Linked DNA regions of Ovis aries. The protein of the gene in region 5 purifies or fractionates together with the protein of the main gene of each other region. This does not show direct contact. Links are inferred from orthologs where the notes say so. Each region holds a gene or a part of one and is shown on either strand. Other genes may lie near its edges.

Evidence for each region.
Region 1: the proteins of WDR77 (region 5) and SNRPD3 purify together in Homo sapiens (affinity purification with mass spectrometry; 3 studies listed by BioGRID and IntAct, with this or other methods). This does not show direct contact. The link is inferred for Ovis aries from reciprocal best matches to the Homo sapiens genes WDR77 and SNRPD3.
Region 2: the proteins of WDR77 (region 5) and GAR1 purify together in Homo sapiens (affinity purification with mass spectrometry; 3 studies listed by BioGRID and IntAct, with this or other methods). This does not show direct contact. The link is inferred for Ovis aries from reciprocal best matches to the Homo sapiens genes WDR77 and GAR1.
Region 3: the proteins of WDR77 (region 5) and SIRT7 purify together in Homo sapiens (affinity purification with mass spectrometry; 3 studies listed by BioGRID, with this or other methods). This does not show direct contact. The link is inferred for Ovis aries from reciprocal best matches to the Homo sapiens genes WDR77 and SIRT7.
Region 4: the proteins of WDR77 (region 5) and LSM4 purify together in Homo sapiens (affinity purification with mass spectrometry; 3 studies listed by BioGRID and IntAct, with this or other methods). This does not show direct contact. The link is inferred for Ovis aries from reciprocal best matches to the Homo sapiens genes WDR77 and LSM4.
Region 6: the proteins of WDR77 (region 5) and CTDP1 fractionate together in Homo sapiens (co-fractionation; 3 studies listed by BioGRID and IntAct, with this or other methods). This does not show direct contact. The link is inferred for Ovis aries from reciprocal best matches to the Homo sapiens genes WDR77 and CTDP1.
Region 7: the proteins of WDR77 (region 5) and COPRS purify together in Homo sapiens (affinity purification with mass spectrometry; 3 studies listed by BioGRID and IntAct, with this or other methods). This does not show direct contact. The link is inferred for Ovis aries from reciprocal best matches to the Homo sapiens genes WDR77 and COPRS.

Annotation. Positions count from the first base shown.
Region 1 is NC_056070.1:71,547,511-71,551,841, forward strand, and holds the start of SNRPD3 (small nuclear ribonucleoprotein Sm D3), read right to left. Parts: upstream 2,858-4,331; 5' UTR 2,742-2,857; intron 881-2,741; 5' UTR 863-880; coding exon 737-862; intron 1-736. Other genes in the region: protein GUCD1, read left to right, coding at 2,998-3,202. UniProt on the Homo sapiens protein: Plays a role in pre-mRNA splicing as a core component of the spliceosomal U1, U2, U4 and U5 small nuclear ribonucleoproteins (snRNPs), the building blocks of the spliceosome.
Region 2 is NC_056059.1:16,020,123-16,024,159, forward strand, and holds the start of GAR1 (H/ACA ribonucleoprotein complex subunit 1), read right to left. Parts: upstream 2,857-4,037; 5' UTR 2,768-2,856; intron 1-2,767. Other genes in the region: PLA2G12A (group XIIA secretory phospholipase A2), read left to right, coding at 3,093-3,288. UniProt on the Homo sapiens protein: Required for ribosome biogenesis and telomere maintenance. Part of the H/ACA small nucleolar ribonucleoprotein (H/ACA snoRNP) complex, which catalyzes pseudouridylation of rRNA.
Region 3 is NC_056064.1:50,478,351-50,482,147, reverse strand, and holds the end of SIRT7 (NAD-dependent protein deacetylase sirtuin-7), read right to left. Parts: intron 3,249-3,797; coding exon 2,841-3,248; intron 2,758-2,840; exon of another isoform or gene 2,709-2,757; coding exon 2,628-2,708; intron 2,445-2,627; coding exon 2,338-2,444; intron 1,892-2,337; exon of another isoform or gene 1,806-1,891; intron 1,236-1,805; coding exon 1,037-1,235; 3' UTR 563-1,036; downstream 1-562. Other genes in the region: PCYT2 (ethanolamine-phosphate cytidylyltransferase), read right to left, coding at 116-204. UniProt on the Homo sapiens protein: NAD-dependent protein-lysine deacylase that can act both as a deacetylase or deacylase (desuccinylase, depropionylase, deglutarylase and dedecanoylase), depending on the context. Specifically mediates deacetylation of histone H3 at 'Lys-18' (H3K18Ac).
Region 4 is NC_056058.1:4,695,256-4,698,561, reverse strand, and holds the end of LSM4 (U6 snRNA-associated Sm-like protein LSm4), read right to left. Parts: intron 3,163-3,306; coding exon 2,979-3,162; intron 1,164-2,978; coding exon 1,072-1,163; 3' UTR 528-1,071; downstream 1-527. UniProt on the Homo sapiens protein: Plays a role in pre-mRNA splicing as component of the U4/U6-U5 tri-snRNP complex that is involved in spliceosome assembly, and as component of the precatalytic spliceosome (spliceosome B complex).
Region 5 is NC_056054.1:88,869,518-88,873,773, forward strand, and holds the start of WDR77 (methylosome protein WDR77), read right to left. Parts: upstream 2,866-4,256; 5' UTR 2,785-2,865; coding exon 2,670-2,784; intron 2,419-2,669; coding exon 2,233-2,418; intron 198-2,232; coding exon 56-197; intron 1-55. Other genes in the region: ATP5PB (ATP synthase F(0) complex subunit B1, mitochondrial), read left to right, coding at 3,135-3,174, 3,451-3,487. UniProt on the Homo sapiens protein: Non-catalytic component of the methylosome complex, composed of PRMT5, WDR77 and CLNS1A, which modifies specific arginines to dimethylarginines in several spliceosomal Sm proteins and histones.
Region 6 is NC_056076.1:861,567-865,132, forward strand, and holds part of CTDP1 (RNA polymerase II subunit A C-terminal domain phosphatase), read right to left. Parts: intron 3,415-3,566; coding exon 3,273-3,414; intron 2,701-3,272; coding exon 2,500-2,700; intron 1-2,499. UniProt on the Homo sapiens protein: Processively dephosphorylates 'Ser-2' and 'Ser-5' of the heptad repeats YSPTSPS in the C-terminal domain of the largest RNA polymerase II subunit. This promotes the activity of RNA polymerase II.
Region 7 is NC_056064.1:18,000,719-18,005,011, reverse strand, and holds the start of COPRS (coordinator of PRMT5 and differentiation stimulator), read right to left. Parts: upstream 2,829-4,293; 5' UTR 2,791-2,828; coding exon 2,692-2,790; intron 118-2,691; coding exon 66-117; intron 1-65. UniProt on the Homo sapiens protein: Histone-binding protein required for histone H4 methyltransferase activity of PRMT5.

The DNA.
Region 1 (4,331 bases), on a different chromosome or scaffold from region 5:
ACTGTAAAGCGATGCCATGCGAATTCACGCGCCGTGGGAAGGGAAGCGCACCAAGCAGTGGGTCCAACACGTCTTGGCAGAGCGATATTCAGCAGGTGAGTCCCGTAATCTCATTCTTCCCATTTCATGGATAAAACTATCACCCAAACCTGCTTGCTTGGCCAAGTATTTGCTCCGAGTGCAGTCACACGAGGTGCTTCTGCTAGGAAAATGGCAAATACCCAGAGTATGCGAGCGAAGACTCTGCTAGCTGCAAAGCACTGTGCAAACGCGCTGTGCGGGGCGGGGGCGCTGAGCCTGACGGCTCCGCTGAAGGCTGCGCTGCTGCTGCTGAGTCGCTTCAGTCGTGTCCGACTCTGTGCGACCCCACAGACCGCAGCCCGCCAGGCTCCCCGTCCACAGGATTTTCCAGGCAAGAGCGCTGGAGTGGGGTGCCACTGCCTCCTCCGGAAGGCTGTGCTGCTTCTCTTAAATGGGCCCAAAGTCCGTGAGAAGACAACCACGGGACTGGGAGCAGCGAAGGACGAGCAATCTAAACAGTCAGATTCTAGGTTTCATATTCTCAACCTCCAAGAGGCTCTCACTGATGCCCGCCTCTCTGGCACCTCTAATAGGGCCTGGCACAGCTTAGGCACTCGGTGAACCACCGCTGAGCAAGAACCTCAAGGAGCCCCAGCCGCCCGCGCCCTGCCCTCCGAGGCTCCGGCCCGCCCCGGCCCCGCACAGAGCAGGGCACCTGGCAGTTCATGTTGTCCTCCGCCTCGATGAGCTTGCCCCGATACACCTCGCCAGTGTTCGTCTCACACGTCACGATGTGGCCCTCGGCCTCGTGGAGGACTTTGATCGGCACTCCGATAGACATCCCGGCAGGAAGAGAGTTCTGCGGTGAGAGAGAGACAGCAGTTAGCTCATCTTCCGACGCCCAAGAACGCATGTGCAAACACCACAACCCCTCAAGGCTGACACTCTGGAAAACTCAGCAAAGTTGCCAGAGGTGCACTAGTTTTTTTTTTAGCTGAATTCTGAGCTTGAAGGACCCATCTGGCAAACACGTGCAGGGTGTGAGTGGGGAGGAACAGGGCCTCAACAGGGGGAAAGCTGACGGGAAAGAGCTGCCTCCCATCTTCCTTCCACCACAGGGCTCTTGAGTGCGCATGTTAAGTCGCTTTTCTGACTCTCTGCGACCCCATGGACTGTAGCCCACCAGGTTCCTCTGTCCGTGGGATTCTCCAGGCAACAATACTGGAGTGGGCTGCCACGCCCTTTTCCAGGGGATCTTCCCCACCCAGGGATGGAGCCCACGTCTCTTACATCTCCTGCACTGGCAAGAGGTCTTTTTAACCACTAGCGCCATCTGGGAAGCTCAGACGGGGCTGTGCGTTTAATTCAACCCATTAAGCACTCTGACCGTCTACTTACTTCACCATTAAGCTAAAGAGAAAATATCCAAGTGTTCACAAGGTGGCGGCGTGCTACAAGTGGGAAACGCTCACCCTGGAGGGAAAATATAACCAGGGAGAACCCCGACTTGATCTAATTAAGAGAGAAAAAAAGCAAGTGGATTTTTTCAATCCCAAGACGGGTGTATAAAACGAAAACTTCTGTAAAATGAAATGCTTTCTGCTCTCCAGTAATCAAGGCACGTCGCAGCCATCTGGTATTCCAGCCTTCCAAATGCAAATTTTTAAGCCCAGGTAAAAACCATACTGGCTTTTTGGCAGCTGTCCGTTACTTCCTGTAAGTGCTGAGGAGCTGGGGGATGTCAGAAGCACAAGAGGCGGTCCCTCGTACCTTAACTTTAGGGTAAAGGAGGAATTAGGCTGTGAACAGCCGAAAAGCAGGAATTGGCCCCAGATAGCTGAGATGCATGTGAAAGAAAAGATTTCAGGAAGCCCGGACTCTTGCATCTTCCCAAAGAACAGAAAAGTATTAAATCTCTTCAGGCCGGAGATCTGGTCTCCATTACTCAACAGTCATCTTTTAATATTCAGATTACCTGCCCCTTGCTGCAAACTTCTTTGTAGCCTGACTCCACCCCACCCAACATTTCTCTCTCCCAGGGGTCGCCTGAAATCCTGTCTTCCGGGCTCGGAGTCCTCATGATTCCCACCGAATAAACCTAATTCTCAGCTTTTAGGTGGCGGTATTTTTTCGGTTGACACGCAGCAGGAGGTCGAAAGAGAGGAAAAGGACCGGGAGAGGTTAGGAAAAAACAGGTTCCATTGCTGAGGACAACGCTGAACCGCAGCTGGGGGAACCGGGGCAGCACAGAGACTACCCCACGGAAGGGCAGCCGGAGTTACAAGACGCTGCAACACGATTTAGACAGAAGCAAGGAAATGTGATAACCTGTGTTTCCAGCGTTAGGGGATCAGGTCCTGGAAGGGGGAGGGAGGCAGAGATGCCAAGGGCTTTGAAAAGAAATCAGCCAAGTAGGGATCTGGGGGGAAGGTGGCCACCAGCCAGGAACGATCTCAAGACCACTGCCTGGATACTTCGAGAAACACCGGCCTGGAGAGGTTCGGAAACCGAAGAGCAAGTACTTCGGGGAAAAAGCTAACGAACGCACCTCCAGGCGCTTGGGAGGCGCCGCTGGGGGTCGGGGTGGCCCAGCTCCCCGCGGCTCTCCCTCCACGAGCACCGCAGGGCTCCTCGGCGGCGCGTCCTCCTCCAGCCCCCCGGCCCCCCGCGGGACCTCGGCCTAGCCCTCGCCCTCCCCGCACCCCCGGCCCCGTCCTCACCGGCTCCGGGCTCCTCTTTCAGAGGCGGCAGGGCAGACGGAACTCCGGCGACTGCGAAGGCGTGAGGGCGCGAATGGCGGGCCGCGCGCTCCCAGAATACCACGCGTTCCCAAAATGCCTCGCGCAGGGCCCGCCCCCTTCCTTTACCCGAGTGGCGGCGGGCGACGTCTCTCGCCTTCGCGTTCATCCTTACCGCGCCGGCTGGGGAACCCGAGCTCGGGTACAATAGTTCCGGGCCCGGGGAAGAGCGGGGCTGATGACCGGACCCAGGTGCCGCCGGAAACAGCGACCCTCGGGCCGGCCCGGGCCGAGGGGGACTCGCGGTCCCCAGCGCCCGACGCCAGACGCGGGCTGGACAGCGAGGCGGGCGGCGGCGGCGGCGGGGGCCCGGGGCCGGGACCTGCCCCCGCAGGGGAAGCCTGGGAAGCCGACGGCGCCGGGGAAGGGGTGCCCCGAGCGAGGCGAGTGCCCCCGGCGTGCGGACAGGGAGAGCGGGGACCCGGAGCAGCGGGCCGGGGGGCCGCCGGCGTGGGAGCCGGGGCGGGCCGGGGCGGGCCGGGGCGGGGCCTGGGGCCGCCGCCGCCTCCCGCCCCCGCTCCCCCCGGGGCGCTGGTGCTGGCCGCCCGGGGAGCCGGCGCGCGCCGGCCGCGCGCTCCCGTCCCCAGTCGACGCCAGAGCTGCAGCCCGCGCCGGGCCGGGGCCATGGGAGCCCCGCGCCGCCCGGGTCATGAGGACGGAGGTGGACGCGCAGGCAGCGGGGCCGCCGCTCGAGCCCGGTCAGTGTGGTCCCCCCGTCACCCCGGGGATCGCGGTGGGCGCGGGGCAGGGCCCCGGGGATCGGGGGGCGGCCCTGACCCCGGGGATCGCGGTGGGCGCCGGGCAGGGCCCCGGGGATCGGGGGGCGGCCCTGACCCCGGGGATCGCGGTGGGCGCGGGGCAGGGCCCTGGGGATCGGGGGGCGGCCCTGACCCCGGGGATCGCGGTGGGCGCGGGGCAGGGCCCCGGGGATCGGGGGGCGGCCCTGACCCCGGGGATCGCGGTGGGCGCGGGGCAGGGCCCTGGGGATCGGGGATCCGGGATCAGGGTTGGGGGGCAGCCCTCAGCCTGGGAATCGAGTTTGGGGGGGAACCCCGCCCGAGCGCCGGGCAGGGTCCGGCCGCGCGACCTTGGGCCGACCGCCGCCGCGGCCCCGGCTGTTGAGCTCTGAGCAAAACCTGGGCAGGTGTGCGCTCCGGCGGGTCCCGCCGGGCCGGCTACGGTCAGTTGGGGTTTGTTTGTTTTTCCTGATAACTCCCTGAGCAGGGACACCCCTGGGCATCTCTCGCTTGCGGTCATGGAGGGAAGGAGGGTCCTGGTTGAGCGGCCGGGGCGGGGGGAGGGGTCACCTTTCCCTGGAGCGAAAAGTCCTCTTTGGAGCTGCTTTGGGGAGAGCCTGTCCCCTCTCCGGTAACTGAGGCCTTAGACGGGGCAGGCAACTGGCAGGGCAGGGAGGGACAGCCTGCCCCTGGCCTCCCAGACTCCTGCCTGTTGTCTTGCTACGGAGTCTTCCTTCTCTAGTCCCGCCTTCCCCAGCGCCTGAGTTCCTTTGCT
Region 2 (4,037 bases), on a different chromosome or scaffold from region 5:
TATGTCTAGAATGTGACCATTTTCATACTTCCACTTCTTCCTCTTTGGGCCAAGCCAAAATAATATCTTACCTAGTTTATTATGTCTTAACTGGCTTCCTGGCTTCAGCTCCTGCCCAATCCACAAGCAAAGTGTATATAGATAAAACTAGCCATTTGCTAGCAGGAAAGATCTGGAAGCCATGGGTTTGCAACCAATAGTATATGTCACAATAAATACAGGCTTTCCTGATTAGATGAAAGTGTCCTGTAAAGGAGGCTCTTTTCAAACATTCTAAGCTAACTAGGGGGTCACAATGAGTCGGACACAACTGAGCGACTGAACTGAACTGAAGCTAACTAGTTAGAAGAAAAGATGGAGGTGGGTCATCTAGGAGTTATATGATATTATCAATCAGGCCTGGCTTCATGAGCAAGCATCCTGTGCATTTGCACAAGACCCTGGACTCAGAAGGGTTTCAGACTATATCTCCCATTAACACCCTGAAATTCTTAATAATTTTTGAACAAGGAGACCTGGATTTTCACTTTGTGCTGAGCCCTGTATGATCAGCCCTGATTATGTGGCTGATCGGGTGATCAATGCTGTACCGTGGTATCTGACAGCAGGAATTGAGAGGAAAAAGCAAATCTTGGAATCACTACAGCAGAACAAGTATCTAATGACTGACTATGAAGAGAAAGTGAAAATAAAACTTAAAATCTTATTTTCTGAGAAGATGGCAGCGATTTCCATGAAGAACATACTATAAAAGATTTGTTAGAGAAAAAAAGAGATCTCTATCAGCCAGAGGAAATGGAGTTTCAGGATTTAACCCCTAAGGAAAGCTGAGACAAAGAGGACAAAATCTGAATTCGCAGAGCTGGGACTGTATTTGTTGTTGTTTAGTTGCCAAGTCGTGTCTTTTGCAACCTCATGGACTGTAGCCCACCAGGTTTCTCTGTCCATGGGATTTCCCAGGCAAGAATACCTTGCCATTTCCTTCTCCAAGGGATCTTCCCAACCCAGGGAATGAACCCATGTCTCCTGCATTCCTAGGTGAATTCTTTACCGCTGAGCACCCTGGGAAACCTGAGGTTGCATTTAGAGTATAAGAAATTAGGTAAGATTACCAGGAATACATATACAGAAAAGGTATAAAGGAGAGACTTGGGGCATCTATAACAGGGCTGGAACCAGGTAATATTGTTATATTTTGTCTTTTCTTTTTGAAGACTTATTCCTATACCACCAAGTTTCTCTGAAAGAACCAAGCCTGGTCAAGGGAGCCAGGTGGGACCTCAGAGGTACTGTAGGACAACACCCACACTTTAGAGATGAGAAACCCAAAGCTTCAGAAAGCAGACCAAAAAAGAACTCTGTGTTTCCTTTTCCCAGCTCTTGAAATGTGCTGTCCAAAAATTAATTAAAAAAAAAATCTTTGACATCTTGTACGGCAGAAAGAGGTCTTGGGTATTTGCTGGCGGTCCGGTGGTTAGGACTCTGCTCTCATTCCGCAACTGGTGTGAAAGAGGCCTTGATTTGACTGGATCCTATCACATGACTTCTCTGTAGGCACTTGAACTCCCCTACTGTAAAAAAGGTTAATACCCCTCAAGCACGTTTCTCCTCTTCCTCCACTGTGGTTTGAGTTGATCACAGCCCTGAGGTTCCTGGCTGACTGAGCATCTGAAGGCAGACTTAAGCCTGGCTGCTCCCAGTAACCTAGCCTTGGGGTAGGCTCACAGATCAGCCGGGGAGGGACGCCCTTTTCTGGTTCTAATTTGTCCAAAGGCTGTATTCCTGAAAAGTGTTGAGTGTAAGAGAGCGAGTCTGTAAAGTGCCTGGCACAGAGTAAGCTCTAAATATAGACACATACAATTCTTATGAACTCTGCATTGCACATTTATTATAAACTCATGAAGCTTAACAAACACAAAACGCCAAGCTAGAATTATTGGTGTAATTCTTATAAAGGTCACATCCATTCTCAACACTTGCAGTATTACCCTGGATCTTATTGTAAAATTCTTGGAAATTGCCAGGATACTAAAATAACTAGGTATTTATAGCTCTGCTAAAAACTACTGCAATTGTTATTTCAGGATGCTGCACTGCGCTGGGATTAAAAATACAGGGAAACGTCACTGGAGCCATGAAGCTACACCATATCTTCAGTAGGAAAATTGTGGGTTTTTGTTTTTAATGCTTTCAAGTTTATAGCATGGCTTCTTCCCTATTACGGAAGAAAACTCGTGGTTTTTATTGTCAAACCATTTTCTTCTAAAATTTCTCAACCAGCATCTACATTGTCAGCCAGGCACCCCAGGGCCTGGGTTAACATGTTCCAGTCCCCACCCCCGAACCGCGGCCACCGCAGTCCAAGAAGACCGGTGAGGACCCAAGACCCGGAGACTGCCAATCTGAACTCTCATCCCATGTATCACGCAGAATCACGGTTTCAAACCCCAGATTCAGCTGGTTCCCTCGCAACGCTCTCTGCAAGGGCCTACTGGGGCTTGTTTCTCCGACGCTGTCTACACCCTGAATAGCTTGTCGCTCGGCTCGTGATGGCTGGGCCGCACACCCCCAAGTCAGAGGAGGTCACGGGGGTTCACCACCTCGCTACACCCTTCAATTACCCGAAGAGCTTTCAAAATATAACAATGCCCACTGACTCCGGGATGAACTTAATCAGCCTGTCTGGGATATGGGGCCCGGCATGGTATTTAGTTAGTACAACCAACCTCTAAGGTAGTACTAACGAGCACCAGGTGGTACCGCCTACCTGGCCACTCGGGAGAACCTCGCCAGCTGGGAGGCAGCCGGGGTCACTCGCCTTCCCACCTGCCCCGCGCCCCCGACGCACCACGCTCCGCGCAGGCGCACAGCGCAGCGGCCGGCCCGGGTCCGCGCGTGCGCCTCGCCCGGCGTCTCCGCCGCGGCACGGTCTCCGGGCCGGAGAGCTCATTGCGCGCGGCGAGCCCCGCCTCCCAGCCGGGCGCGGGGCGTGGGCATGGAGCCCGCCCCTGCCTAGCCCCGGACCCGCGCCGCTGCCTGGGGCGCGCCGACGTCTCCGTGGGGTGGGCCGGGCGCGGCCTGGCGCTGCGCGGATGGCCCTGCTCGCCGTCCTCCTGGTCCTCTTCTTGACCGCCGCTGGGAGGTGCCAGGAGCAAGCCCAGACCACCGACTGGAGGGCCACCCTGAAGACCATCCGGAACGGCGTTCACAAGATTGACATGTACCTGAACGCCGCCCTGGACCTGCTGGGAGGCGAGGACGGGCTCTGCCAGTATAAGTGCAGTGACGGTGAGGGGGACCCCAGGCCCTGCGGGGCCCATGCGTTCGGGGCTATTGGGAGGACTGGGGTCGTGGAGGTGTGAGATGTCCGGCGAACCTTGTCGGTGTCTTTCTGGCCCTGGATTAGAAAAATGTAAGCACTGCTAGGATCTTGCCTTTCTTGTGATTGAGCAACCTGCTGATAAATTCACACCATTGCTTTTAGAATGTGAGAGGTCGCCTGAGAGTACTCGGCATTCTGTTTCATTGCATCTGAATTACGTTTTTGTGTTTTTTGTTGTTTTTTTTTGCAATTGCCTGATGACAATTGCCTAAGAACTTAGTGACATACACTTCATGGGGATGGAGTGAACCAGACTGATTTTAGAGCCTTTAAATTAGCTGACTATGCAAAACATAGGGAGAATTTTCAAGTCATGCTGTTTTATGATAACTTTTTCAAGAATTGGTTTAAGTTTTAAAGCTACAGAAAATAAATTGCGACCTTTGTACAGGCTTTGGTGTACTTTATTGTTGAGAAAGAGTTCCAATTGACTCTTCTAGAACGATTCTATCAATACTTGATGGGAATTTTCTTTAGATGTCAGTGACCTGCTTTCTCATTGTTGGTTGCTATTAATATTATTCTTTTGATTTTTTCATATTTTTAAACTCGAATTCTGTTTGAATCTGAGAACTTGTTTGGTGTCATTGTTGGTGATAACTTGGTATTTCAGGCAGAGATCTTTCTTTTGAAGTCCTTGACTTTTTTGAATGCC
Region 3 (3,797 bases), on a different chromosome or scaffold from region 5:
TGTGACTCCTTTCGCCCGCCACCCCGAGCTCGCCGGCGGCCCGATTCCGGCGAAAGCGGCCACAGCGGTCGCCGCCGCACCCCCGCCCCCGCCCCGCGTCCCCCGCCGCGCTCACCAGCCGTCGCACCACACTCGCACGGCGCGCCTAGCCCTCGGGCCCGGCCGCTTGGCGTTGCCCGCCTCCCCGTGCCCGTTCCGGATCATGGCCCGGGGGCAGCGGCGAGACACTGTGCAGCCGGCTCCCGACTCCGAGCCGCCGCAGCCCGCGCACGCACGCGCCGTCACGCGGGCCTCACCCGCCTCGCGCGGCCAATGGCGAACGCCGCCCCACCCCCGGCGCGAAGCCCCGCCCTCTCACCACACATGCGGCCAATGGGCAACCCCACTCGAGCCGGGTTCCGCCCCTCCGCTCCCGGCCAATGACCTGTGTCCAGCATCCCTTAGCGCCCACCTGGCAGAGGGGCGGGGCAGGACCACGTGGGGCGCACCCGCCCCTTCAGGAGTCTCGGCAGGCGCCTGCTCCCACCCACCGCTTCAGGAAGGTAGTCGATGACACGGGGAAGACAGTGCAGAGATGTTTAATAACAATAAAAAGGCCTGCTGAGAGCCAAGGCTCAAAAATCACCCCTTTGCAGCATACTCAATACAGAAAAAGGCTTCTATAAACTTAACATTTTCAGTAAGAAGTAGTAGAAATTGGGTTGATGCCCCTGAGACTGGCCTGGTGAATGAGGTAAGGCAGCCTTGTGCTTCCTCTTAGCTGGCCAGATGTGAAATAACCGGAGTTCTGTTATCACAGAGGGTGTGACTGCCACCTCTTTAGGAAGAGGCCGCTTGAGCAAGGCTCATGCAGGGGACAACCACAGCAGTGCAAGGGGGCTTCCCACGAGGACAAATGGCTAAACATGTCAGGGTGAAAATGTCACCCCCAGATAATTCTCAGGGGGCAGTCCTGGCATTAATGGTGCCACCTGCCCCTGAATAAGAGTCCCGGCCATTTTCAAAGTGCCATCATTGTCCTTGGTCAAGCACCAGGTTACGTTACTTTCTTCCTTTTTGTGCGTTTGGTGCAGCCTCTGCCAAACCAGCCACCCAGGATGGGGGCTGAGCTAAGTGGTGCACCCCGGTCCCCAGGCCCAGGTTCCTCTCGGCTTCTGCACAGTGACTTGCGACTATGGCTGCCTTCTTCACCAGCACGCAGGGGAGTCGCCAGGGAGAAGATGGGGTCCTGCCACCTACGGAAAGGGAAAGCTGGGTCAGGTGTGCCATGGAGCCCCTCGCAATCACAACCCGCCCCAGGACGGGAAAGCTGACTGAGGTCACCCTGCATCCCTCCCGTGTCTTAACCATGGCTGGGCTGTGTTCAGTGGTAGCTCCAGAACATCTGTGAGAGAGGTAAGTTCCCCCAATAACTCAAAGGCCAGGACCCAGACTAGCCTGTCCTCTGCAGAACTCACTCCTCGTTGGTGATTGAGGGGGCTGTGCACACAGGGGTTGGGGAGGCACTAACCCCAGGAAGGATGAGTCACTAGCCAACCCTGGGCCCCACCTTTCACTCATAAGGCCAGGGACAGGCAGACCAGACCCTCTTCCCCTTCCCAGACTTGACAGGAGGAAAGCTGACTAGGGAGGCGTGGCCTAAACACTACACCGTGACGAGATCATGTGTCTGAGATGTAGAACCACATATTATAAACTTAAGATACAGATAAGCACTGATAAAGAAAATGAGCTAAGTTAATGTGAAAAAAAAAAGTACAGTACACAATAGGCCCACATTACAGAACACCACAAACATAACATACAAGAATTGCCAGGCCCAGAAGGTGAAGGGATCCTTAATTCTTGAACCCTTTGATTAAAAGAAGTTATTGATTTCCCCTATAAGACCCTGGAAATTCACAGAGAAAGAAAGTGTAAACTTTTTACTCAATACACACACCACGTCTAAATTATCACAAATTCTGTATCAAGCCACAATTTGTTTAAGCTTCCCCAAAGTATTCCAGTTCCCCAAGCCAAGTGCACCCAGATCCTGAAGAGCAGAGTTGCTGAGAGCACATCCCTTCAAGGCACCTTCCCGTCCAGGCTGCCTGAGGGGAAGGGGGGACATCCAGGCATACCCTGGCAGATTCCCTCTCCCCGCAGGAATCACACCAGCCAGGACATCTCAGCCAATGCTGGGGCTGGGCCCTGCAGAGGCCACCATGCCACAGTCACGCCTTAGATGCCAGCTGCCACACCTCAGAGCTTTCTCTACACTCAGCTCACAGAGGACGACAGACACGGCCCATCCACACGGGGCAGGGAAGTGGGGGACGCGCCTGTACCCCTCACCTGCTGTAACGGGGGATCTCCAGGCCCAGTTCATCCATGAGGAGCTGCATGACGTCATCACACTTGCCGTGCAGCTTCAGGGCAGCCCAGTCATCCTTCGGGGTCCACTGGGGACAGGAGAAGGTAAGTGAGGACAGCACCTCACTCCTTCCCAACAGCCTGCTGGCCTTGGGCTCTGCTCAGCCAGACCTCCACAGTGGATGACTGTGGGACACAGATGTCCTAGGGATGGCTGGCTCTCCTGTTCTAAGGCCCAGGTCTGAGGAGGCGGCTCTGAGCACCTGAGTTACCTGCAAGTTCACAATGTAGAGCTTGGGCCGCCGGCTGGGGGGCTTGGTCATACACCAGAGGTGTGGATACTTCTTTAGAACCTGCAGGAATGGACAGACGGACAGACGACACACAACCCAGATAAGGAGGCTACAGGAAGATGGGGTCTAAGGTTGAGCTGACCAGATGCAGGCAGGTTCACCCCATTCCCATCCATGGTGCTATCTGCATACCTTTAAGCTGGAGCCTAAACACAGGATGGTGTCTGCTTTGCTGGCAGCCTGGGTGGCTGCCTCCCAATTCAGAGGCTGCCCCAGCGTCCCCCTCTCCCCAAAGTGCACGATGGTGTCCCTGAGTTGGCCTCCACACTTGTGGCAAGTGCGGCCGGTCTGGTGCCGGTGTAGGGCAGTGCGCTCCGTCACATCAAACACCCGCACATACTCCCTATTGGGAGTGCAGGCCGTGCAGACCTGAGGAAAAGTAGGGCCCGTGAGTGGGAGCCGCTGGCCTGCCCAGGCCCGAGTCCCTGAGGGATCGCTCACTTCAATGTACATGTTCCCGTGGAGCTCCGACATGGCTGAGCGGGGCAGCCCGCTTCGCAGGTGGAGCCCGTCGCAGTTCTGAGACACCACATGCTGCACCTGGAGGGGCAACAGTGGCGGTCAGCAGGAGGAAGTGGGGGGTGGCACTCAGGTGTCAAAGCATACCAAACCCTGCCAGTCCCAGAGCCCCCAGCCCAGCAGAAGCTACAACCTTGCACAAAGCACCAAAGGCAAATCCAGAGCAGCAGGCTGGTCGCAGCAGGACCCAGGAGGCTCTGATGAGGAGGGCACCAGGCCCACCCCCAACGACTCAGAAGTACTAGGAGCTCCCAGGAGGGCAAATGTTTGTACCACCTCCTCTTGGCTGAAAAGGGGCTGGGGACCCAGACTGATGCTTTAGGTCCCTGAAGCCCTAGAAGTTGGACCCCTCTCCCATTTGGCAACAGGTGCTTAGCGGAGGATCTCCAGAGACTTCTTACTAGTTTGCCCTGTTATCTAGGTGGTTCCTGAGGTCTGTGGGAAAATGCAAGAGAAACCCGAGAGGAAGGGGCTACCCTCGCGAGCTCAGGGCCTAGGTGGACTCTCTGTGTGATGATGATTCAGCAAATAGGCTGCCCTCTACTCTTGGAATGGAAACACAGGAGGAAT
Region 4 (3,306 bases), on a different chromosome or scaffold from region 5:
TCTTAACACCAGGCTGTCCAGGAATATCGGTCAAAGGACCACATCGCCGGAAGTGTTCCGCACAAGTGCTGGCTCAGCGTCTCAGGCAAATCGCTGAGTCGCGGACAGGCAAGTGCCCCGACCCTAAGAGGAGGTAAACAGTTCGTGAAAAGCCTTCCTCATGTGTTCCTGGAGGCAGCTCCATGTCACGGCTTCTCAGGGAGCTCTGCTGTGAACAGTGCTTGCACAACAGAGATGGAGGCTGAGGACAGGCAGTGTGGGTGTCCCACTGGCTCCCACCCACAACTTCCCTCCCCCACCGCCCCACAGAGGGGAAGGGGCTCCCCTACTGCCCAGACCCCCATTTTGCCTTCCACCTTTTGTAAGAGGCTGCTGAGGGTCATGGGAACCAGTGTCCCATTGAAATGCTTCCCCTTGGTGAGAGGCCACAGGGGGCAAAAGGAAACTTCTTGCGTGGGGGCTGTGATTTCCTGAGGACACTACAACTAGATTCACCCAGTGGTTCAAAGGAATTATGGATTTCGCAGTTTGTAGTTGTATTTGTTTTTATTTTTCTAAGACAAAGAGGGAGAGAAGAAGGGACGGAATAGGGCCCAGCATCATCCCCCAGAACAGCTTCTGAGGCATACGTTTGCCTGGATCCATTTCGAAAAGGCAGTTTCAGGGTCCGTGTTTCAGGAGACCCTCCAGGCTATCAATCTCAGTGCAAACAGCTGAAAATAAAAACCTCCCGTCTGTTTACCACACAGAATGCAAAACAAACCTGTTTGGAAAATGCCTGCCCTTAAAACAAGAGTGAGGGCTTTAACGATGCATTAAACACAGAATCTTCCAGGAATCCAGTTGGCTGCGGCTTCACAAAACCAGAAGCACAGAATTAACATTTCCAACCATAGAACTGCTGGCTAACAAAAAAAGAGGAGGACCACCAGAGGACAGGCAGGGGGTCCTCCCCGACCCCTGCCTCTTCTTTTTGTTCTGAACAGTCATAAACTGGAGACCAGGAATGCAGCCTCAGGGTGGGAGCAGGTGCTCGGCGCGGCAGCTCAGTCTCGGGAATGGAGGGGCGGCTCACTGTTTGCCCGCCTGTCTGCCTGGCTTCTTTTCTGGTTGACCTCTGCCAGTCCCAGGGATCCCACCTCGGCCCCGGCCACCGAACACACCTGTGAGACAGGAGGGGGGGTTCAGTAGAGCCAGGCTGGGAGGGTCACTGTGGGCAAGGACCAGGAACTGGAACCCTTAGACTATAGCCAAGTCGTTGAACCCCTCTGAGCCTCAGCTTTCACCTCTGTAAAGTGGGGGCAGTGACTGTACCGTCGGTGGGAAGAGCAGGTTGAAAATCTGAGATGGAGTGTCTGACCAGGGCTGGGCAGGGGTATTGCTCCACAACATTCTCAGTGTGACAAGGGATATCAGACCAGGCGCCCCAGGGGTGCGAAGGATGCCAAGAAGGACAGAGGTTGGCATCAAGTCACACTGGGGCTTGCGGGGGCGGCGGCGGGGGGGGGGATATGCTTCCTGGAAGAGAGGGCTGAGGGCCAAGGTGAGGGGGTGGGTAGTCATCAGCAGGACAAAATCAGAAGGGTTTCCAGGAGGAGCTGGGAGTACAAGCTAGGATGAGGCCTGGACTCAGCCCAGGGGTGGAGCAACGATGCTCAGCTCTGTGACTGGGGCTGCACCGGGGGACCCCACCCTGCCTTGCTGAAACAATGGGGTGGGGTGGGGTCTCTGTGTGTCCAGCCCAGAGAAGGGGCGGGGGAGCCTCCTGAGCTCTGACCTCTGCAGCCAGAGGTGGGGCTGTTTCCGAAAGGCATTTTACGTGGAGCACACAGCACTGCTGCTGGGGAAGGTGAATAGCCCAAGGGTGGGTGCAGCCCCTGCCCAGGAAGTCACAGAAGCAGCAGCCTGGCCTTCCAGGGCCCCCTTCCTCCACACGCATACAGGGGACAGGGCCAGGGCTGACAGGGTCTGCCCAGCCTCATCTCTAATGGAGCAAGACCCAGCTTGGGCAAGGGGAGCCTGGTCATGCAGGGGCCCCTATGCAAGCGCCTCTCCCTGTCCTCCCTGCTCCTTCAGGCAGTTTACTCGACAGCGATGGCACCCTGGGTGGGCAGCCTAGCCCTGGGGGCAGGTCCTGGGACCTCTGGGGCCCTGCTCACCCCCATCCTAGGTTCTTCTCCACCTGCGGTGCCCTCTTCTCTCTGGCTCCTTTCTGTCACTCAAGCCTCAGCTCAGGGGGGCTCCTATGTCTTTCCTGGCTCTGCATATAAGCCTCCAGGGTGGGTTCCTGGAACCTGGCATACAAGCCCCTCCAGGTGGGTGAGACAGAAGTCGGGTGGGGGAGGGTGGGGCCCACAGCTGGCCTCTGGGCTGCGGCTCTAGCTGACTGCACGTTTAGTTTTATGCAAGATTTATGATTTCAGGGTGGTGCGGGGTGATCTACCCAAAAGGCGTGACCTTGGTTTTGTCTAAAGGAGTCACAGCAGGGAAGGGTCCCAGGCTGGGCACCACGGGGATCTTCTCCGCAGGGGGGAATCTGAGCCTCCCCGAGGTGCCCAGAGCACCTGCCAGGAAACACAGGTGGGGCTCAAGTCCCAGGTCTGTGTGGGTGCTGGGTTAGTCTGCTGGGCGGCATCTGGAGCTGAGGGAGCACCAAGAGCCACTGCGGGGAGGAGGGCCCATGTTGTGAGGATGGGCGCGGCCAGCACTGACCACTAGGGCTTAGCTGGGCTCCTGGGGTGGGGGACACGGGGCATGCAGGTGGCAACCAGCAGCACCAACTGTTCCACAGAAGAGCCCCGTGAGTCACAGCCCCCCAGTGCCATGGAGGAGGGGCGCAGAGCCAGGCCCTCGGCAACATGACGCCACCAGCGGAGAATGCCAGCACTGGGCCAGGCCAGATGCCGCGCGCGGCAGTCACGCTCCAGCGGGGAGGCCCCGGCTGCCTGCCAGGGGAGAGGGCGGAGAGAAGGGCCTACCTCGCCCGGCGCCCCCCATCCCGCGGCCCTTCTGCTGCTTCTGCTGCTGCAGGCCACCGCGGCCACGGCCCTTGGCCACCACCTCCTCCTTGACCATGTCGATGATCTCGTCAGGGATGCGCAGGTACTTGATGGTGCTGCCGCGGATGTAGCACTCGGGCATCCGCCAGAATTTGTCCCCGTCCTGCAACAGGGGGTACGTGTCAGAGCCGTGGGGAGGAACGTGTAGGCAGCCGGGCAGCATCCATCCACTCAGGCTCCCTGTGCCTGGCGTCGCCCCCGCAGGGTACGAGGCCCCTCCTTCTGCACAGGACGTGGGAGGGCCGCC
Region 5 (4,256 bases):
ACCTAAGACACCCAAAGAAGGCCCAGAAACAGGAGCAATGAGAGTGGGGACCCACCAGAAGTCTTTGCTACCACTGACAGCATGTGTGCCAGAGCTCAGGACACTGACTGTAGACACGATGTCATCGTGCTCATACTTGCAGAACTTGCTGACAATAAGCGTCTCATTCTCATCCAGCTCCCACAATTCAACAGCACCTGTTGAGGGTGGGGAAGACGGTGAAGGAAACAAGCTGGGGTTACACCAAGACAGCACTTCACTTCTAGGATGCTAAGTTCTTGAGAGACAAGGATGACACCTCCACAATGATATGAACAGCACACAGTTTAGTATTATTAAATAGTCCCAGTTATTTGGACATTAATTGTCCCAGCTTTATCCTTCCATGCAATGCCTGCCAACACCTCTATTCTTTTTTTTTTTTAAACATGAAACCCTCCACTGGTTTTTCCACTAAGTCTGACATTCAAAACAAAGAAAGCAGAATGAAGACATGTAAGAAACTGGGAAGAAATGGAAAGAGCATAGACTGGTTTCAGCATCATCTTTAAGATCAATATCATCCTTGATGTTGGGTGGATACAGAGAAAAACAGTTTCATTCATGTCTTAATTTTGTTATGAATTTTGCTAGAAATTTCCACCAATTTGGAATCTTGGGACGGGTATATCCTACCCACACAGTTATTCTCCTTTGGGACCAAAACCTTCAAGCTCCCCCAAGCAAGGAGTATGTTGTTGCTATTGTTCAGTCTCTAAGTCACATCGAATTCCCTGTGACCCCATGGGCTACAGCACACCAGGCTTCCCTCTCCTTCACTAACTCCTTGAGTTTGCTCAAACTCATGTCCATTGATGAGTCAGTGATGCCATCCAACCATCAAATCTTCTGTCGTCCCCTTTTCCTCCTGCCTTCAGTTTTTCCCAGCATCTGGGTCTTGTCCAATGAGTTGGTTCTTTGCATCAGTTGGCCAGTGTACTGGAGCTTCAGCTTCAGCATTAGCCCTTCCAAAGAATATTCAGGGTTGATTTCCTTTTGGATTGACTGGTTTGATCTCTCAAAAGTCTTCTCCAGCACTGCAGTTCCAAAGCATTAACTCTTTGGCACTCAGCCTGCTTTATGGTCCAACCCTCACATCCATACATGACTAGAAAAAAAAGTTGTTTTGTCTATATTGGACCTTTGTGGGCAAAGTGATATCTCTGCTTTTAATACGCTGTCTAGGTTTATTGTAGCTTTTCATTCAAGGAGCAAGCGTCTTTTAATTTCATGGCTGCAGGCACCATCCACAGTGATTTTGGAGCCCAAGAAAATAAAGTCTGCCACTGTTTTCATTGTTTCCCCATCTATTTGCCATGAAGTGACGGGACCAGATGCTATGATCTTCGTTTGCTGAATGTTGAGTTTTAAGCTAGCTTTTTTACTCTCCTCTTTCACCTTCATCAAGAGGCTCTTTAGTTACTCTTCACTTTCTGCCATAAGGGTGTCATCTGCATATCTGAGGTTATTGATCTCTCTCCTGATTCCAGCTTGTGCTTCATCCAGCCTGTTATTTCCCATGATGTACTCTGCATATAAGTTAAATAAGCAGAGTAACAATAAACAGCCTTGACATACTCCTTTCCCAATTTGGAACCTGTCCAGTTCTAATTTTCCACACCCAGTTCTAACCGTCACTTCTTGATCTGTATACAGGTTTATCAGGTAAAATGGTCTGGTATTCCCATCTCTTTAAGAATTTTCCACAGTTTACTGTGATCCACATAGTCAAAGGCATTAGCATAAGTCAATGAAGTAGTAGATGTTTTTCTGAAATTCTCTAGCTTTTTCTATGATCCAGTGGATGTTGACAATTTGATCTCTGGTTCCTCTGTCTTTTCTAAATTCAGCTTGAACGTCTGGAAGTTCTCAGTTCACATACTGTTGAAGCCTAGCTTGGAGGATTTTGAGCATTACCTCGCCAGCATGTGAATTGAGTGCAATCGTGTGAATCTGAACATTCTTTGACATTGCCCTTCTTTGGGATTGGAATGAAAATTGACCTTTTCCAGTCCTGTGGCCACTGCTGAGTTTTCCAAATTTGCTGGCATATTGAGTGCAGCACTTTAACTACATCATCTTTTAGGATTTGAAGCATCTCACCTGGAATCCCTTCACCGAGTATGGGACATTAAAAATTGAGCCCAGCCCGACCTCCATTCCACCTGTACAGCTGAGGAGCAAGTGACCCACCTGAATCAGAAGCCACTAGGATACCTCGGTCCCCTACCCAAGTGAGGTCAGCCACTCCGGCCTCCGTCTGGACTCCAGCAGAGCAGAAACCTTCGTTCGGAGCGGCACAAGGGTCCTTGAAAAGCCAGAGAGAGCCAGCCCAGCAGCGGCCACTCAGGCTGGAAGCCCCAAGCAGAAGCGCCCCATCTAAAGGAGATACAAGATGTCAGCATGAGGAGTGGAGAGGCTCGTTTCCCTGGTAACCGCCCAGCAGCCCGCTAGATGCATCTGGACCCGAGCCCGGGAACGCGGGGCACGGCTGGGGTGAGCTCAGCGAAGCGAAGCAGGGGTCAGGCTGGCAAGCGGGGGAATCGAGGTGCGGGCTGGAAGGTTTATTCCCAGGAAGGGGCACTCCGGGGTGGGATAAGGAAACTCCCCGGCCTAGGACCCAGGCTCACCAGACCGGTACCGCGCAGCCTCCAATTGCCGCTCCATACAAGCGGGAGCATTAGGGGGAAGGTTCCACTCCCGGGCTGCCGGGGGCACTAGGGTCGGCGGTGTTTCCTTCCGCATCTCCACGGTTCCAACTTCAATCTAGACCCAGACTGGATGCCCGCCTGAGATTCAGCTCCAGGAGTCCCCACGTGGTTCCTCTCCGGCCTCCGCCCCTCTAGGCAAGTTACAGCCTCCCTACATCTCGCGAGAGCTGCTTCTAAGAGCCCAGCCGGCTTTCCCGCCTGCACCCTCCCGCAACCGGCTCTCTGCTTCTTATCGCGAGGGGTAAAAAGACGGGAAGTTGACGGAGAGGGCACGAAGTTCTCTTCTCGCGAGACTTGTGAGCGTCCATCTTGCTTCTGTCCCTGACAGTTTCTTCTGTCGGGGTCACTGGGGCGGGAAGATTGCTGTGCGAACGCTACCTGACAATGCTGTCCCGGGTGGTACTTTCTGCCGCCGCCGCAGCAGGTGAGAAGTACACACCCTGGTCCTGGATAGCAGGGTGATTGTAAAACAAGGCGTCTGTGGTTGCTTGGAGCGGGTGGGAGGAAAGGGCGTGAAGAAAAGCGCAGTGAGACTTGGGTCTGAGTGAAGAGTGAGGAGCGCCGCTCAGAAGGTGAGTGTGGGGTCCTGGGGGTAGGAATGGAGGACACATGGCCTTAGTGATTGAGCTCTGTGGGGCCGAGGAAGGGGCAAACCAGATTTCACCGTGACCTTGCTAACCTACGCTTCGTATTTTTGTAGCCCCGTCTCTGAAGAACGCAGCCTTCCTCGGTCCAGGGTAAGTGTAAGGGATGTAATATTTCCTTTGGCCCTTGCTTTATCACCTCATTTCACTTCTGGGTTAATCTGCTTTTAGCTTTAAGCCAATAATTACCTTCATTTTGGTTATATTGGAACGCTTAACGTCTAATTCACGTGTGATTCTGTAACTGCCTGGAACACTATTGTATCATCTAATAGTAGAGGTTAAGAGAAAAAGTAATGTGTGCTAACTAAACTGTTTAGAAACTGGTTTTGGTGTCTCCTGAGCCCCGCCCCTCTCCCTTGTGACCTTCAGCTAGACAGAGCTGCCGCAACCTGTATCGGGATTGCTGCTGCTGCTGCTAAGTCGCTTCAGTCGTGTCCGACTCTATGCGACCCCGTGGACTGCAGCGTACCAGGCTCCTCCGTCCATGGGATTTTCCAGGCAAGAGTACTGGAGTGGGGTGCCATTAGATTGCATATCCAAGGGCAAGTTTTGTTAAATTGAAAAATGAAACGTGTAGTTTTTAATCTGTCTCCCAGATTCCAAATTTTACTGTCAGATCAGAGAAATTATTCAGTGTTTCAGCAAATATTTATCTTGCACCTCCATAACCAAAACTAAAGAAATTATATGGTTAAGTACCTACCTTCACACAGCAGAGGAGGTAGCTATAGAGCAGTTTACAATGAGGACTCCGAAGCTGAGAGTAAACTTGGCTCCTCTGCTTAACAAGCTGTGGGACCTTAATTTCTCCATACGCAAAATAGAGAGAACAGTTTGTTATGGATTATGAGAATTAAGG
Region 6 (3,566 bases), on a different chromosome or scaffold from region 5:
ACCTGGGAGAAGCAGAGACACGCACACGTTTACAGCGGCCCTGTCTCTCAGAGTCCAGAGCTGGACATGCCCCCGGTGTCCGCAGCGAGTGGACAGTCACAGAAACTGCCGCACCTCACACCACGACGCCCTCTGAGCAGTCGACACAGCGACGCTGGGGCAGAGTCTCCAGGGAGCCGAGCCGGGCGGAGCTGCCAGCCCACCAGCCCGTGCTCTCGGACGACAGGACAGGGACGGGCACAGACCAGGGGGGCCGTGGGAGGTGGTTGGGGGAAGGGGGCCAGCGGGAGTGGGCAGGGCAGCTGGGGATGGCAGGGGGCCCAGAGGGGGTGGCCACTCCAGGTCTGGACCGTCGGGATGGGCGTCTCAGCTCGATGCGGGCAGCAGGTCTGGAGATGTGGGCACTGGGGGGAGATGGTTAAAGGGTCCCTGGGCTCTCTGCCATTTCTGTTAACTGCCTGTTCCCCCACAATCATCTCCAAAGAAAACCTATACTAAAAAAAGACAAGACATTCACAACTTGCAGCATTCAGCTACGAAGGGGCATAGAAGAAGCTGTTTCAGCGGCTGACCCACTGGGAGACACGTGTGAGGCATGCTGCCGTGGCCCCGACCTCGCACCCTGCTCTCCAGACACGGCCCTGGCCCAGCGACGCCGTGGAGCTGCGCCTGCCACGCAGGCAGCCTGGACCTGGGCCCCAGCCCAGCGGCTCTGAACGGCAGCTGCTCTCCCCTCCACAGTCCCAGCAGCGACCTACACACGGAGATCCTGGTGAGAGGCGCTCCACCCATGTTCCCCAAGGACCTCTGACTCCAGGCCCCTCGCGGGCTGGCACCTTAGCCCAGAACCAGAACATCAAAGCAGGAGCTCCCGAGACTTACGACTCCCAAACAAGTATCAGACGGAAGCAACCGCCCAACAGCTGTGGTGTCCGGTCACAACCGGGTCTGCCCTGGGGTTCCGGATCAGAACACGCCGGCATGCTGCCCCCGGGAGTGCAGCCCACCCTGCCCTCCGCACACGTGTGGGCAAGGCGCCATGTCCAGGAAACAAGACCGGAAAGGGTGGATGGCCCAGGGGGTGGCCTGGGCTGGACGCTCGGAGGCGAGCCCTGCACCCCGTCAGGCTCACCCTCACAAGGAGGAACCTCAGCGACGGAGCTCACTGCAACACTCTGGAGAGCAGCTCAGTGGGGCAATAAGTACACAGCGAGCACGCGCCACGCTGCGACAAGCGAGACACGCCACACAAAGACACGCCACGCGCGCGAGGAGCTGAGTACACAGCGCGCACGCGCCACGCTGCGACAAGCGAGACACGCCACACACGCGCGAGGAGCGGCAAGACCAGCGCCACAGAACGAGAGCCCCGTGAAGCTTCTGGGATGACAGAACACAGAGCTGCACCCCAAAACCCAAACGCTGTTTAGGATAAGCTACACCAGCTACTCTAGAAACACTGGGCCGCTTCTGTCCAGATGGCGCGCCCTCCACAGACACACACTGAGGCCAGCGCAGCTCCAGGGCCCTCAACCCACCACCCGAACACCTGCTCTCCGTCAGGGAGGACCTAACAGAGAACGCGACAATCACCTCAAAGAAAACCCCAGCAGGCCACCCAGTGTCCACATGCCCAAGGAGCCAGCACCGCTCGGCCGGCAGCACGGGGCCAGCGTCTCCTGACCCAGGCAGTGACGCAGCCCTCTCACAGCGACCGCCACCCAGGAGGACCAGGGCAGAGCTCCCAGAAGCCAGCCAGGAAGAAGCATCGACTCAGGATGCGAGGCGACGGCCAGTGAGGTGGAGGCGGGTCTACAGGGCTGCAGCGGCCAGAGACGTGTCCCAGCACAGTCGTGTGTCCGAGATGGGCCAGGGCTGGAGGCTGCCGGGCAGGACCACAGGGCTCAGCGAGCCTTGGGCGAAACAACAACAACTGCCCCATTTATCAGAGTCAGAGATGTCCACGACCTTTAACCCAGCCAGAAAGCAACTCCACAGGAACAAAAGCACCACACAGGCTCACGACGCGTCTATCGAAACGATTAAGTGTCACATCGTCATGAAAAAAAAAATCAAAGCTCTATCAGTGACCACGCTCTTAGTTTCAAATAACAAAACCACCAACCAACACCTAACTGAAACTGGCCTCAACCAGCGAGTATACTGTCTGTCCACAGCTGGAGCCCAGCAGCAGGACAGATACACAGCCTAGTCTCCAGGGCCCATGTGCCTGCGCAGGGCGGGAGCTGCTCCTGACAGGCCCGCCCTGTGTCCCAGAGATGCAGCCGGCAGGGCAAGGCAGGAGAGCCAGGGCTGCCTCCTGCTCCCTCGCTGACCCTGGGCAGAGGAGGGCCACGTGCCCGTCCAGGCAGAACCACACCTCCTCAGGCCCAGCCCCGCACCAGATGGGAGACCGTGCACAAGGCCTGCCCCACACGCAGCCTGCTCCTCGAGGCCGGCCGTGGCTCAGGGATACCTCCCCGCGAGCGGGTGGAGTACCTGAAGGAGGAGAGCCCCGCGTGGGGCAGGGCGCCAGGTGGCCCAGGGCCCGAGGTGGCTGTGCGGATGAGCTTGCCCGTGCTGGCATCGTAGATCCGGACTTCAGGACCAGGCGGGGCCTTGGGGTGCACGGGTGTTGGGTGGAACAGGGCGGCGGGGAGCAGGCTCTGCCTGTCAGGGAAGGACGCAGGGCCATCCTCCCTACGGAAGAGAAGGAGGGCTGTGAGAGGGGCTGGAACCCACGGGACCCCGGCAACCCCTCCCGCTGGGACGTGACTCTGCAGGGGGCACACGGTTCCTGGTCAGGCCTAAGGCTCTGCCGCGGCCTTGGATCCAAGGCAGCACTCCCGCACTGTCTCTCAGGCTGTCTGCAGCCCTGCCTGTAAACCCAGCGCCTGATCTCATGCAGGGGGCGCCCGCCAGCCCGCTCTCCCCACACTGTGGCCCACGCACCTCTGCACCCACCCTCCCCAGCCACCACCTCCCTCCACGCTGGACTCTGCAGAGACCCCGGGACTTCACAGAAGCATTCCCAGCCTCGAAACACCTGGAAACCAGGAATCACGGCGGAATGCCGTCTCATGTCTTAGAAGCAGCAATTCTGCTCCTTCTCCAGGTGGTACCAGGGAGAGGGGCTCTCGGTGACAACCCGCTCGGCGGGCACAGGGGAGAGACTGATGGGCGTCTCCGCAGACGGGAAGCCGCCGGCTGCGAGGGCTGAGCAGGCCCGCCGCCCACATGTGTTTGTCAGGGACTGGGCGCCCAGAACTCACCTCTGCGCCCTGCCCTGGTCGTCACGCAGTGGGAACAGCTGCTCCTCCACCCTGTCCCAGCGCTCCAGGCAGCTCCACAGCCAGTCCGGGTTGACCACGTGCAGCTGCCCGCATTCCTGGGCCTGGCGCACCTTCTCCGTGCCTGCGAGCAAACTCGATCCACTCAGAGCCACGGTGAGGGGTGGGGGCGGGAGACCCTCAGGGCAGCAGGGACAGAGGGGCGGGGCTGCGGGGCAGCACGGAGGGCCGGGGCTGCTGGGGCTGGGGCGGGGTGGGGGGGGGAGAGGGGCACGG
Region 7 (4,293 bases), on a different chromosome or scaffold from region 5:
GCTTTCACAGTACAGACTTCCTTGGTCTCTCCCAAGAGCCACCCCCGCCTCTGTCGCCTACTTGCCTAGCCGATCTGTGGCGTTCTCAGGCGCTCTCTCCTGATTGGAGTGGTCAGCCTGCAGGAAGAAGAAACAAGGACCCAGGACTTGGATATCTCGGGAATGGCCAGTATTTCAGCCCCATATCCACCCTTTCAGACCCTCCTTTGCGAGGCTGGGGTGGGACCCTGCAACCCACATTTCTACTGTGCCCTGTTACATTGGGACTTGCTGCTTCCCATTCCTGTGGGCATCACCCCTGCCGGCAGGATCACCTGCCTTCACAGAGTGCCTACTGAATCCAGTGTACAGGCTGCCAGCACATACAGAGCCAGTCTCCTCGCTGGGCCCTATCTTTTTTTTTTTTTTTTCAATATGTATTTGGCTGCACCACCTCTTAAGCTGCAGCACTTGAGATCTTTAATTTTGGCATGTGGGATCTAGTTCCCTGACCAGGGATCAAACCCAGGCTGCCTGCATTGAAGCGTGGAGTCTTAGCCACTGGGCCACCAAGGAAGTCCCTCACCAGGCCCTGTCTTGAGAGGTCTGGTCTCCTCCTCCAAGCTCAGAGACTCCAAACTAGCCAGGACAGCACCCCGTCCTCAGAGGCTGGAATTTCAGCTCCCTGAAATTCTCCTCTGAGCTTGCACATTTTAGTCATTCCAATCTCACCCCTTTGTTCCCTCAGCCCTGGGGCCGGTTGCTGTTTCCCTGCAGTGGATACCTCCATGTTCATTTTTACCTTAACTTTTTATCTAGCTAATAGCTCTTTTATCAGATTTCATCTCCTGACTGACACAGGAGGACTAAAGAGCTTTAGCTGTTCAAGGGAAATCAGCGGTTGACAGGAAATCGTCTTCCTTCATAGCCATCGCTAGGTTTCTCTGCTCCCACCGCGCAAAAGTTCTGAAATCCTGTGACTTCCCTGGCAATCCAGTGGCTAAGACTCCAAGCTTCCAATGCAGGGGGCATGGGTTCAATCCCTGGTCGGGGAACTAAGATCCCATATCTGGGCAGTACGGCCAAAAACAAAAAAAGAGTTCGTTCCTGAAATCCTATCACCTGTGAAGATGTCTTTCTAAGTGAGGCGAGAAATGTTCACAGCCTGCATGAGAAGGCGTGACTTCAATCCCATTCACTCAGAGTATACCTGGGACACATCACTTCAGCCACCATGCCTGGGTTTCTGTCTCTGGAAATTGGGGACAACTGTTCTAACCCAGCAGGAGGTTTATAATGAGATAACACTGATGAAGACACCTAGCACACAGCAGGAATATAACATTTATTGAGCTGAAACCCACCTTCTTTGCCCCTATATTTAAACTGTACTTGGCACCTGCTCGTTAGCTCACAACCTAGTCCTACCTGGATTTAATGAGCTAATTCCATCTCCAGTAGTCGGTGACAATTCCCGGTCACCCCTGCTGACCAATAGTGGGACTTCTCACCTCTTCTATTGCAAGAGCTCCTTAACTGCCTTCCCACTCACCCACGTTTTCTTTTTTTTAATTTGGCTGCACCAGGTATTAGTTACAGCATATGAGAGCCCCCACCAGGGTCCCCTGCATTGGGAACACAGAGTCTTAGCCACTGGACCACCAGGGTCCCACACTCATCCATCTGGCCACAGCCTCACACTGGAAATCACCACTCTGCCCAGAAACCTCAACAGGCCTCCACTGCTAGAGTACAAAATTCGCCATGGCATCCACATTGTCCCTTCAGGCTCCATCAACTTGTGCAGCACAGTTCTCTCTCCAAGCTCCCAACCATCTGCCCTGCACATCCTCATCTCCACGCCTCTGCCACGACCACTATCCTCTCATCTTGGAGAGGAAGTGCAGGAACCTTCCTGCTGTGGCCTGCCAAAATCAGTCTCATCCTACCTGCCCGGTAAAGTAATATTCTTTATAAGCCTACCACTACATTTTTCCTATCTTATTTTGGTTAGGATGTCTCTGATGCTTAGATAAGCATTCCTCTTCCATCCAGTTAATAAATATGCGTGTGTGAAGTGCCAGGCACTACGCTACGCACCGGGTTTTCAGCACTAAATAGAGCGTTCCTACCCTCAAGGAGCTCACCGTCTAAAAGGGATTATTGAACAAGGGCAGGACATGACTGTAATAGCAGTCTTTCAGAAACCGGGAGCTGTCTGGCGCGCAAAAGAAAACAAGTTTCTAGAAACCCTGCGTCAAACGCGGCCTTTTGGTTTCAGTGAAAGGAGAGCGCGCAGGAGCCATCATCCGGTGCTCCGGCTTAGCTGAGCATCCCCACCATGGGACACGGATCCTTCAGGGAAAGTAGCTCTCCTCGCAGCCCTCACCTCGCCCCAGCCCAGGCCCCCGAGCAGCAGCCCCAGCTCTCGGTCAGCAGCATCACCTCCCATTTAGCAAGGACGCAAAGGCGCCCTGGAGCCAACAGCCAGCTCTCCCAGCCCGGCGCGCCCACCCACGTCCTCGAGGTTGCCCCGCCCCACAGTCCCGCGGCCCGGCTGTTTCCAGCTCGGGCGCGCGCCCAAACGGCCGGGCTGCCCGAGGAGGGCCGGGAGCGCTTCCCCGGTTCCATGGCCCACGCCCCGCGAGCCCCCGCAACTTCCCGCCGCCGACCGCAGGTGGTGGACGCGCCCAGGCCCCGCGCCGCGCTCACCCCCGGAATCGGGGGCGCCTCCCGCCCGCTCGGCAGCTGCAGACCCCGCGGCTGCTCCGCGGCCCCCAGCGCCTGGGCCCCGGCGGTCGGAGGGTCCATGCCTGTCTGCCCGCGGCTCGGCGCCCAGGTCGCCGCTCGGCCACGTGACGCGCCGGCCTGGCTGCCGGCCCGAGGATACGCCGTTGAGGGCCAATCAGCCTGGGGTGCTCTCGGCCGGGGGGCGGGGCGCGGGGGGTCAAGAGGGAGCCAGGGGCGGGGCAACGGACGGGGCGGAGTAAGGGGCGGGGAGTGCCCGCCTCCGAAAGCCTAGTCCACCCAACCGTCCTGAATCTTAATTTTTGTAGCCACTGGCGATGCAGGTCCCAGGGCTAGAGGACTAGCTGGGTCTGGAACGCCTGAGTGTTACCCCTACCCAATCACAATTGACATGCTTTCCTTCAAAACCCGTTCAGTTCAGTTCAGTCGCTCAGTCGTGTCCAACTCTTTGCAACCCCATGAAAAGCAGCACGCCAGGCCTCCCTGTCCATCACCAACTCCCAGAGTTCACTCAAACTCAACTCCATCGAGTCGGTGATGCCATCCAGCCATCTCATCCTCTGTTGTCCCCTTCTCCTCCTGCCCCCAATCCCTCCCAGCATCAGAGTCTTTTCCAATGAGTCAACTCTTCCCATGAGGTGGCCAAAGTATTGGAGTTTCAGCTTCAGCATCAGTCCTTCCAAAGAACACCCAGGACTGATCTCCTTTAGGATGGACTGGTTGGATCTCCTTGCAGTCCAAGGGACTCTCAAGAGCCTTCTCCAACACCACAGTTCAAAAGCATCAATTCTTCGGCTCTCAGCCTGCTTCACAGTCCAACTCTCACATCCATACATGACCACTGGAAAACCATAGCCTTGACTAGATGGACTTTTGTTGGCAAAGTAATGTCTCTGCTTTTGAATATGCTATCTAGGTTGGCCATAACTTTCCTTCCAAGGAGTAAGCGTCTTTTAATTTCATGGGTGCAATCACTATCTGCAGTGATTTTGGAGCCCCAAAACATAAAGTCTGACACTGTTTCCCCATCTATTTCCCATGAAGTGATGGGACCAGATGCCATGATCTTCGTTTTCTGAATGTTGAGCTTTAAGCCAACTTTTTCACTCTTCTCTTTCACTTTCATCAGGAGGCTTTTTAGTTCCTCTTCACTTTCTGCCATAAGGGTGGTGTCATCTGCATATCTGAGGTCATTGGTATTTCTCCCCGCAATCTTGATTCCAGCTTGTGCTTCTTCCAGCCCAGTGTTTCTCATGATGTACTCTGCATATAAGTTAAATAAGCAGGGTGACAATATACAGCCTTGACGTACTCCTTTTCCTATTTGGAACCAGTCTGTTGTTCCATGTCCAGTTCTCAACTGTTGCTTCCTGACCTGCACATAGGTTTCTCAAGAGGCAGGTCAGGTGGTCTGGTATTCCCATCTCTTTCAGAATTTTCCAGTTTGTTGGAAGTCAAAACCTGTTAGAATAGTCAATTGACCTGCATCTACCTAATAGTGCATAAGAGTTTAAAAACTTTTTATGCAATTGTAGCTCTAATCCCATTTTACTCTTCTCTATAAAC